Linked DNA regions of Oryzias latipes. The protein of the gene in region 1 interacts with the protein of each later gene in a biochemical or structural test. Links are inferred from orthologs where the notes say so. Each region holds a gene or a part of one and is shown in the gene's direction. Other genes may lie near its edges. The genes, in order: map2k7, gadd45b and mapk8ip2.

Evidence for each region.
Region 2: the proteins of map2k7 (region 1) and gadd45b form a complex in vitro, tested with the Homo sapiens proteins (2 studies listed by BioGRID and IntAct). The link is inferred for Oryzias latipes from reciprocal best matches to the Homo sapiens genes MAP2K7 and GADD45B.
Region 3: the proteins of map2k7 (region 1) and mapk8ip2 form a complex in vitro, tested with the Homo sapiens proteins (2 studies listed by BioGRID). The link is inferred for Oryzias latipes from reciprocal best matches to the Homo sapiens genes MAP2K7 and MAPK8IP2.

Annotation. Positions count from the first base shown.
Region 1 is NC_019859.2:2,782,383-2,786,033, forward strand, and holds part of map2k7 (dual specificity mitogen-activated protein kinase kinase 7), read left to right. Parts: intron 1-1,703; coding exon 1,704-1,848; intron 1,849-2,494; coding exon 2,495-2,561; intron 2,562-3,651. UniProt on the Homo sapiens protein: Dual specificity protein kinase which acts as an essential component of the MAP kinase signal transduction pathway. Essential component of the stress-activated protein kinase/c-Jun N-terminal kinase (SAP/JNK) signaling pathway.
Region 2 is NC_019862.2:22,490,641-22,494,040, reverse strand, and holds gadd45b (growth arrest and DNA damage-inducible protein GADD45 beta), read left to right. Parts: upstream 1-1,404; 5' UTR 1,405-1,608; coding exon 1,609-1,652; intron 1,653-1,772; coding exon 1,773-1,874; intron 1,875-1,959; coding exon 1,960-2,182; intron 2,183-2,278; coding exon 2,279-2,392; 3' UTR 2,393-2,856; downstream 2,857-3,400.
Region 3 is NC_019864.2:20,580,479-20,584,569, reverse strand, and holds the start of mapk8ip2 (C-Jun-amino-terminal kinase-interacting protein 2), read left to right. Parts: upstream 1-1,163; 5' UTR 1,164-1,278; coding exon 1,279-1,343; intron 1,344-4,091. UniProt on the Homo sapiens protein: The JNK-interacting protein (JIP) group of scaffold proteins selectively mediates JNK signaling by aggregating specific components of the MAPK cascade to form a functional JNK signaling module.

The DNA of each region.
Region 1 (3,651 bases):
TTCCCCGAACAGGCCGACCCGTCCGGGCCGCTCCTGGACCCAAACACTGGTGCTCCTGGCAGAGCCCTATCTCACTCGTGCAGAAAAACTCTGAGCAGCAGGAAGTGACTGCTAGCAGACATTTAGTCTAGTCATACCTCTAGTATGCAGTGAGACCGCGTCACTGAAGGGTGTAAACACAGATTCCACTGGACATGATCATTATTTGTGTTTGTGTGGCTGCTATGGGGGTAACCATTGATCGATGAACTGTAGATGACTTCCCGTTGAGGCTTAATGTGTATTTTAAGAAGCTCAGCCTGCCTGCATGGCTTTAACGGGATAGGAAGTCCTTACACGGCAGAAGGCTTTTGCTTCTTCGATGTGGACGTACCAAAAAATTCAAACGAGATAAAAAAAGAAGATACGTTTGGCTAAAACAGTAGTTTTTTAGGTAATTTAGCTGAAAGCAAAGGTCAGAGTAGCTGTTCTGGGCGGAGTTGTGCCGTCGTCCAGCGGTGCTGGAGCCATCTTTAGGTGTAGCGTTTGCAGCCTCTTTAGGACTCTAGAAGATCTATAGCAGTGGTCCCCAACCTTTTTCAGGCCACAGACCAGTGTTAATGTCAGACAAACATTTCACGGCCGGGCCTATATGAGGCTGAAATGGGCCTTCCGTTTCTTAACTTTTGAGGGTAAAGTTTGTCTTCGTCCTCTGTTAAATTTCTGCAGCTGCTTTAAACTTAATCGTTCACTAGATTTCCTGTAGGAACCATTAAAATGTGAAGAAGATTTTCTCTTCAAAGTTGAAGCTAAAAATCAGACGCCAACTTCAGCCTCGTCCGACTTTTAGGGGAAAAAGGGTCACTACAGCTGGTATTTTCTAAATCTAATAATAAACTTGAATCGACTGAACAACTTTATTAGCAGCAGCAGCATCGCAACATTAGCTGCCAGGTGCTGAGTATTCTGCATTATTATTATTATGGTCTGTGGAAACAACTGTCAGAATTAATTCATATTTGGAGTAAAGCCTCCTGGCTTTTGTCTGGTCGATACAGCTTTCTTTCTGTTTCCTCGCTGGATTATTTCAGCCACAAGAAACTTTCCTATTATATTTATGTTGTGTTGACTCTCCCAGCCCGGGGGTTTCAGTTTAGCGCTCGTAGCAGCCGCTTTATGAAGGTGTCAAATGGATTTTCGACGCGTGTCCGAGCGACTCGGCGTGCGTCAGGAACGAGTCGGAAATGGTGGAGAGGATTCAGGAGTTTTCCAAAATAAAACTTCCACGTAGGTCGTCCTTTTTTCCTTTGCAGCCCGCCACCCACTGTCCCACAGACTGGTACCGGTCCGCGGCCCGGGGTTTGGGGACCACTGGTTTAGAAAACACTTATGCCCTTTAATTCTACATACCTAAAGAGGTTCAGGCTCCTTTATGCTACATGGACTTTAGCTCAACAGAAGGAGAGGGACAACAAATCGATCAGTCGGCTCGCCGATTTGATGAGAGTTATGGTTCATCTTAATCACAAATGTTTAGCTGGTTATTTGTAGGGAAATGTTTTTATTTTTTAAGGAACAAAGCGTGTTGAAACCAAAGACTCAGACGTGAGGGCTGTAAGTCCTGACTGGTCCTCAAAGCACTGAACGAGCTGCTGGGTGTGGGGAGCGTACCTCCACCTGCAGTCCGCTTTCTTTTAACGCCACCGTCTCTCGCTCCAACCCAGCCCTGCAGCTGCCCCTGGCCAACGATGGCGGCAGCCGCTCGTCCTCTTCAGAGAGCTCGCCCCAGCACCACCCGTACCCCAGCCGCCCCCGACACATGCTCACCCTGCCCACGCCTCCCTACGGCCTGCAGAAGAGTCTGGAAAAGTAAGCTGGAGCCGGAAAACTGCAGCAGAGTGGGATCTGGAAGATTGTCTGTGATTACTCGTATAAAAGGGGGGTGGTGGGTGAGATCTAATGTAAAGAAACGTTAAGGATTTACATATAAGCCATCTGTAAAGAAATATATTTTTTTTTTTTCCGTATAGATTAATTTGAAAAATATTAATTCCAAAATCTTATTTAGAATTTTTTTTTTTCTCACAAATTCTGGACAAAAGTCAAACTTTCATAATTGAACTAAAGAATTCTTAGATTTAAAAACTTTTTTTTACCACTTAAAAAACATTAGAATATTGTTAGAAAGGATAATTGATCCATCAATTTGATGAATGCATATTTATGTTGGAGCTATCCAGATATCATTTAATTGAAGATTGATTTACTTTTTTTTACTTCCCCTAATATTTATCCAAAACCAACGCAGAGAAGCTTCTCTTGTCAAAACATGGGGGGGGTGTTTCTAAAGGAGGTTTGTGGTTGAACTTCTCAAACTTCCTCTCATTCTAAAAAGTCACCCTTTGGTTTGTAACGCGTCTCAAACTAAACCTCAGCCTCTTTGATTTTCTTTTAAGGATCTGACTTTGCGTTGCTTTCAATGACATCTGTATTTTTCCTTCTTCTGTCTGTTTAGTGCTGAAATTGACCAGAAATTACAGGAGATCATGAAGCAAACGGGTTACCTGAAGATTGACGGTCAGGTGAGACATTGAGGACGGATTTCTGGCATATAAAGATAATCTTTTAAGAATATAAATATATAATTGTTTTTTGGGCTATTGTTCTAAAGGTTGTGCAAGTTACTTCTTTATGGTCGTGAATATATTCACTTTTGTTCACTTCTCGCTGTGAAATTTTTATTTTTGTTGATGTTCATGAGGAGAATTTTCATTTTTTTCCTGCTGTTTAGCTTTGATTTATTTCCTACAAGCAGCTAAAACAAAAACACAACGAGAAAACGATCCCAAAACGAATAAATCCCTAAACTAAACATAAAGGAAACCATGTTGATAAAAACTGGAAAAGTCCCGGTTTGTCCTCGATGAAAGTTCAGACTTCTGTCCGTGTGAAGAAACGTCTCAGAAAAATGTCTGCATCCTTGGGATGTTTATTTTCGTGTCTGATAATCTCAAGCTCTGTGTAGTGTTGGGTTTTTTGTTTCCTCCATCAAGCTCCAGTTTCAGACTGTGGCTCTAAAGATGAAAACAATCTGAGAACAGCGGCTGTAGTCCTTCTCTTCATTGATCTTAGAGAATTGAAAACATGGATTTATGTCCATTTTTATGGCCACTGAGTTGATTTTATTCGGTTGGAACTGGAAAAAAACCCTTTTCTATGACCTCACACTTGGTTTTCAGTTATGTTAGAGATTATTTCCAAAATATTTTGCTTTTAAAAGAAAATTATCTACACATTTAACTCTAAAATACAGTGATTGATTATTACAGTAAAAAGAGACAAATAAGTAGTTTGTACTGTAAGAGTCTATACATATATAAATATAATTTTTATGTCCCATTTACAGAATATCTCGTTTTTGTAATTTATGTTGAGTTTGCTAGAACGTGTTTGGTTTTTTTTCTTTGTCTTCATGATTTATTTTTTCTAGAAACACATTTTCTAGTCTAATTTTTAAAAATAGGATTTTCCATTAAGATGAATATCTTTTTAAAAATGTAGTTATTTTTGTTTTGATTCTATACAGAAGGAATCTTTGTAAATCTACACCATAATCTTCATTTTTCTCGGTTTGGGTAGAATTTTGTTTTCACATCAAGTTGGTGTCAAAAT
Region 2 (3,400 bases), on another chromosome or scaffold:
CATTAACTGAATTAAATTTCACAGAAATATATAAATACATACACAAGAAAGTAAAATAGGGTTTTAATGAGGGTTTTATTGAAAAACATGTTAACAATAGAAGATTTAAAGATAAGAAAAACACTTTGGCTGGAAATGTTTAAGAACTAATGTTGAAATATTAAAGAAAATTACTATAAATCACAATATTTTAAGTAAAAACTGACTCCTTGTGCATGAAGTTTGTTCACTCAATAAACCTGTGCAGTTATTTTCGTTTTCAGTCTTCCAGATTTATGTTTTTAAGGGGCATCTCCAGTCATTTGTGTTTAATTCAGTTAACAACGTCTTTGAAATAGTTTTAGATGCTTATCGCTCTGAAATGAAACCCACTTTTTTTCTTTTTGATAAGCTTTATATCCTGGACCTCAAATCAGAAATTCCCTAAAAGGCCACCTAAAAAAATAATAAAAATAAAACAACCTGCGAGTTCGCGCAAATTTCCCACGTAAGAAGCCCCCTTCAAGTCCCTGAGGAGCACCAGGAATCCCCCCCCCTCCCCTTTCTTCCTGCAACCAGACTGGTTTTGCAGAAACTTTTTTCCTGCAAGATTTCCTTTTCCCCCGCTAGGGGGCGATCGAGAGCTGTGTGTTGGGGCAGGAAGCTCTGATGAAACCTGGAGCTCATGAGTGATGCAAGCTTGCTGAAACACTTGAGTGTAAGTTTACGCACAGTCTGCAGTCAGTTTGATTTATTATTTTTGACTGTTTTTCTGGATGGTTCTGCATATTGCAGTTGCATGGTGAAAGGAGATTAATGGGATAATGGTTAAGGGGGGGGGGGCGGTAAGGAGCGAGTATTAAGAAGCAGAATGAACTTGCAAAAATCAAAACCACACTTTTCACTTCTGCTAATATTAAAAAGCATGATCTTTTACTGTTATTTGGTATGCGTTAAAAAAAACACTCTTGCACAACTTGCAGCGCCGGGCTGCCGTTACACAAGCTGGGGCTCGTGCTCTGACACGGGGCAGTCACCTGCCATGGTCCTAAGCTTTCAAACAAAAAAGAAAATCATCTGATTCCAATTCGAGACTTTCCTCAGGCAGGTGCTGCACCGTTGGGTGGTTGTGCAGTTTTGTTTTTTGTAGCCCCCTAAGTTTCTGGTGAGAGGAAGCAGGAAGATCTGGAAATTCCTCCACTCAGATCGAAAGCTCCCAGTAAACACGCTTAGTGGAGAGAACGGAGACATACGACGAGGAGGAGGGCTGAGAGCGGGGGATTCTCCGAAACCACCCACGTGGGAGCACCGGCAGTTGACGCCCGCCCAACCAATCGCTGCGCTCCCCATCTGCGGCGAAACCAATCAGCGAGAGCAAGCGTCTGGGCGCGTCAAGAAGCGCCGATCCGCCTATAAAAGCGGACAGTTTCGACTGTAAGAGGACAGAAACCTTCACACAGACTAAGAACACGGACTAAGAACTCAATCACGGACGGAACAACGATCAAAAACCTATCTGGATTACATTTGTTTTGCCGGGACTCTACCTTTGGATCTAAACGCGTCTCAGCATCGCTGGGGATTCTGTTTTTTATCCTGGAGCTTGTGGATTATTTTACTGACTTCAGCATGACTCTTGAGGAGGTTGTTGGATCCAGCAGTACCGACAAAAAGTAAGTGTCTGAAAAGCTGTCTTTGCCCTAATTCTCCGTTAGTTGCAGTTTAGCGGTGTTGTTTGAGATGCGTTACGCAGTGCGCGCCCCGGTTTCTAACCGCCTCCTTGTTTTCTGCAGGATGGAGACGGTGAGTCAGGCTCTGGAGGAGTTGCTGGTCGCGGCTCAGAGGCAGGACTGCCTCACAGTGGGAGTCTACGAGTCCGCCAAACTCATGAATGTGTAAGTTCTTCTTCTCCACGAGACGCGTCTGAAATGGCTCCAAAAGGCGCGCGCTAACCCGGCTTTCTTCTGTTTGCTCCTGCAGAGATCCAGACAGTGTGGTTCTGTGTCTTCTCGCCACCGACGAGGAGGACGCGGACGACATCGCGCTGCAGATCCACTTCACGCTGCTGCAGGCTTTCTGCTGCGATAACGACATCAACATCCTCCGGGTGTCCGGCATGAGGCGCCTGGCGCAGCTGCTGGGGGAGGACACCGAGAACAGCAACGGGAACGAGCCCCGGGACTTGCACTGCATCTTGGTCACTGTAAGTTTCTCCTTCACTTAACGCACCACTTTCAGTGCATCCACAGGACCGTGTTGAAGCATGAAAATGACCCCCCCCCCTTTCATCTGTTTGCAGAACCCCCCCGTGCAGCCGCTCCAGTGTCAAGCTCTGCAGGACGTCAGCAGCTTCTGCGCAGAGAGCCGCTGCAGGAACCTGTGGGTTCCCTGCTTGGAGCTGAAGGACCGCTGAGCGCAACTGAACCTTTCCATTTTTGCCTTTTGCCTACCGCCCGAGGAGCGGTGAGAAGAAGCTGAGAACAGCCAAGACCCTCGTGGTGAAGAGGGGGAGCACGACTCTCCTCCCCAAGGGAGCTCGACGAGCCTCAGTCCGCCTTTTAGACGGAATCACGGGAGCGCGTGGGATGATGGCGTCGGTGCTGAACCGCCGCGCCAGGAGCGCGATTGGAGGCTCCGGGTCAGGGAGCGTTGCAAGTTTTTTTTTTTTTTCTTAAACGAGGTGACGACAGCGGAGGCGTCACGTGACTGAACCGATGCATGAACGAGGAGCTGCAATGGACAGAGCCAGGTGTCTTGCTCACCTGTTTACGCACGAAACCTTCTGTTATTTAAGTGCACAGATTAATATATGAAAAAAATGGACCTACATGTTGAATCTCATTTATTTAAATAAATTATGCATTGAACAAACAGTGATTTCTGCCTTTTTTTTCCTTTTGTGAAGAGTATGATGTCACTTTCTGCTTCTCTAGACCCAGAGCAGTCTCTGAGAAGACATTATATAGAAGTTTTTCTACTAGATTACTTAGAGGTTACTACATTTATAGTTTAGTCATTGTTGAGACTTACAGGTGCAAAGTGGGGCCCTTTACCCAGAAGGATGACTTCAGGTGTTTAAAAAAAGTAGCTAATGGCTTTATTAGTGTTTAAAAAGAAAGAAAAAAACCGTTGTGGATTTATTTACATATTGACATTTGTGTCTAAAACAAAATAGGTTGATAGAAGCTGAGAGTATCAAAGCTGCTTGTCACAGCCAGAATCTGAGTGCACTACTGTACTTTACTGTAGTCTAAGGGAGAAAAAGGTTGACTTAGAATCAAAAAAGGCAAAAATGTAACCAATTGGACAGAAAATCTCAATTGACAAGTCTTTCTTTCTAAAAATCCTGCATTTTTTTCAGTCAGATTTCTTTTTTAGGTTTAGCCTCATATTTTTAAACCTTTTTGCAAAACTCGTGTTT
Region 3 (4,091 bases), on another chromosome or scaffold:
GATCAAGTAACCATTGCAGTCCAATGTGTGGAAACACTGAATTTAGCAAATACATGCGACAAAACAGTGTGGTAGAATCTTCTTATAATGTTTCGTTTTTATTGTGTTGATGTGGAAAAACAACAGTGGGTGGAACTTTAGCAAACTAAAATGTGAATAGATTTGCCATTCATTCTTGTTTACTTGTTTGTTTGTACACATTTAATTCAAACTTGATTCCCAGATTCCTTGATTAAAATACAAGGAATCTGGAAAACTTCCCCTGCACTGTTCAGTATCCAGGTGTTTATGTCTGAGTCACACTGGTTACATTTTTGTCTAAAGATGTCCTGGATTTATTTTAGGCCAGTCAATTGGAACAAATCGGATTGTTGAAAATAAAACAATATTTTCAATGAATTGTATCGGGAGCTAGAAATTATGATATGAATTGAATCTTTAAAATTATTCGTAACACCCCTATTATACAGAGATAAGTATTCATAGTTGTCTCCTTATAGTGACCCCGTGTGGTACGGCTGTTGAACAGCATTTCAAGATCTCGCTCAGTTTCAGTACCACAGGTGGTGAACAGCGACACTCTGCGTCCCTCATTGCTTCGTTTCCATTCTACCAAGCAGCCCACAATGTTTAGGGTAAACCATCAAAAATTACATCGACTTCTAGAATTAAATATCTTTATTCTTTTCGTTAAGAGACACATTTGAATGCCATCGTTATACTGGCTCAATCAATCCCTGCGCTGGTCGTCCTCCTCTCAAGGACATGTGCTGCATGTTGTGGGGATCTACGCCAGTGTTTCTGCCTGCATCCTCTCAGCACTGATTGCTCACACAGCAACGACACTGACGTTACGTCGCTCCCCCCAACCCCCTCCTCCTCTTCGCCTCTCCCTGTCTCCGCACTGCTGGCCCGCTGCTGTTGTGTTACCACCAGCCAGCATCACGGACATTCAACGGGCGAATCGCGCGGACTGTGGGCAGGAAACCTTCATGCCTCGCGTGGACTTACATTAGGAACGCGGCTTTTTTTTTTTATCTTCCCGCCGCCGGCTCTGCAGCCCCTGCTTCATCCCCGCAGCCTGTTCGTGCGGATGGTTGACTGCAGATGCGTTGGGGTGTTGAGCAGCCGCGTCTGATTGAAGGCTTGCGCCCAGGCAGGCATTTGCGGGGGCTGCAGAGCAGACAAACCGCCGTCCATTCTCTGGCCTTGTGATTGTTAATGGACTGCGCTCCATCCTGATTTTCTGCAGTCGCTTTGAGTCATTGGTGGTAGAAGATGGCGGACAGAGCTGAGATGTTTTCGCTGTCCACTTTTCATTCCCTCTCTCCTCCGGGATGCAGGTAAGAGCTGGCCTTTAAAAAAATCACTAATAGAGCGGGAAAAGATGCTCAGAATATAAGTGAATCCGCACGGGCGCGATGCGCAACATGAAAAACAAACGCGCGCTCCCAGCCTGGGTATTTGGGATCACCACAGGCCTGTGGGTGCCTGACTGCGCGCATCAGGGTGCAGATCAGCGCATCAATCACGATCTTTTCTTAGTTTTCTTCTTTTTTTTTAAAGTCACCTCCTCCGTAAACTGTTACAAGGAAAAACAAGCAGCCCATTTTCTATGACAGATATTTTGAAAGCTCGCGACATTCTCCCCTTTGCGCATTCTCTGTGCGAGGCCCACGCCCTGATGAGTCCAACCCAAGAAAGAGTACCGAACAAAGATGCAGGAAGTCCCACTGATGTTCGTGAAGCCCCTAGGAAGAACTCTGACCTTTTTTAAGCCAAACATTTAGATCTGTCCGTAACCAGACGCAAAATAGCAGATGACTTGAAACAGCTTTTGCTGTGTTGAGAAACTTCAACTTTGTTTCCAGCCACATTAAACTATGATAGTGGCAGTTTTATGGCTGTGCCATCTTTAAATACTTCAACGTATGGAAAGGATGCTGCACAAAGAAAAGTAAACAGCCATCAGGAAAAAGGTAATTGTAATTTTCTTTTGCATTTCACAAACGAATGGACTGAATGTCGGCATGTGTGCTGCTCATGGTCCAGAAACAGCCATGGTAGCATTATCCCAGTGCTTGATCTGGATTTGCTATGCCCAGTTTGGATGTGAGGTCAACAGTCTCATAGATGGTTCATTAGGGATTGATTTGATTTTTTTTAAGCCAGTGACCTCATAACTAAGACCCTCCACTCGCCAACAGCAGATTATATTTCCAACAAGAAACCACAAGCCAAGTTTCTTTGTGTTTTAAAAACATTGTGGATCAGTCTCATGCTTTTTTTGTGGCCAAAATGTAATTTTGTTGTTGTTGTTTCTAATGCTCTTCAAGTCTTTCTAATTTATTTTCAGTCACCAACATCCTATGAAACACCACAAAATCCAAATTATGGGTGAAGAAAATATGATTAGGAGCATCAATCCATTATGTCATGGCTTCTTCATCAGACTATTGTTGACACAGAACTGTTGTTAACCCATTAGGTGGTAGAAATGAAAGCATTCCAAAATATCTATATTGAAAATTTCGCCCTACTGCAAAACATTTACATCAAATTGGGTCACTTTTCATTTCATGCTGTCCATTCCTTAATATGAAAATATAAAGAACTCTTTAAAGGCTATTCTCGCTCCAGTCCAACTCCAACTCCACTCCAAGAACATTGCAAATGTGGCAGTGAACTTTTAGGGAAAAAAACAGAAAACATCAACCGTTTCCAAAATAAAATTGAAATCCTTTTGGTAATAAGTATAAGTGCACTCCAAATGCAGAAGGAATGAATCTTATTTTATGAGGGCCAGGTCAGTATTTGTGCTTGAATCCTATTGTTTTGGAGGTCTTTTTCTTTTTATAATTATGTCAAAAGTCACCAGTGCCAAGACACCATTTTTTCTTCGTTTAGATTTGTTCACGTTTTTGTGTGAAGAAAAGTTTTTGGCTTATTTTGGACTCCATATAGACTCTGCATAGATAAATAGGGCTAAAAATACAAATTTCATTACTATCACGTTGGATTCTCTCCAAAGTGATTGGATTTGATCCCACCCCAGCGGAACCATAAACAACACACCCTGCATTTACTACTCATGCCTGTTCCGAACCCTTAGTAACACAACACTGTTCTGTCACACAAACTGAATATCTCACTTACACTTTGGTGTGGACTTGCAGATGGATTGAACCCCTTTTCTGCACAACAAGCACCTGCATTTTTACATGTGTCATAGTTAAAACCTTTTAACAGGACATTTAAAAGAAACTGATTTTGCTTAATGCGACTGTCTGATCCTCCCATCATTGCAGGCTTAAACATCAGTGTTCTACTTTTGCCTCCCAACACTTTGAAGTCAGTTGGAGAAAGCAGAAAGGGGGATGGGAGTGGTGGTGGGTATGGTAGGGGGTAAGAGGCTTAAGTCAATACAGATTCATTTCTGCTGCCTTAGCTCTCCAGTTTTTAGTCATTTTTCTCTCTTTCTGGTTGTTTGTCTCTGTAGCTGTAGATGTTTTTCTATCAAATGTTGGCCTTATTGGAAAGAAACATTTCAACGCATTTGGTTTGATCAACAACTCCGAGAGGTTTCAGTTCAACTGCAGCTCTGGGGTTTTACCTCATGACTTCATTAATCCAAATCCAGATGAATCTAGATGAAATCATCTGCAACAGATTCGTGCCTCACAGCCCCCTGTAGATCAAACGTGGCAGGATCATCACAGACAAGAGTGGGGGGCTATGAGCCCGAAAGCATGACTCATCTGTTTACAGTATATGCCTGAGCTTTCCTGGAGATGGAAGGAGTTTCAAAAGTCTGGGGATATGATCCGGTTAATGAGTCAGTACAAAAAGCATTAAATGTCTTCTAAAGATGATATCACAGTGAAGTGGATTCTCATCGCTAAAATGCATCCTTATGAAAACCATGCGTCTACTTACTGAAGCTTTTACAAAATGTTACCCAAGTATTTATTTTTCTTTCGATACAGTGAACAAAAACATGAAGGTAGTCGGTGTTAGGGGAGAGGAGGCAGAAGACAGGGTTGAGTCGCCGTGGCGACCCCTGATGGGAAAAAGACAAAAGGGGTAAAGGG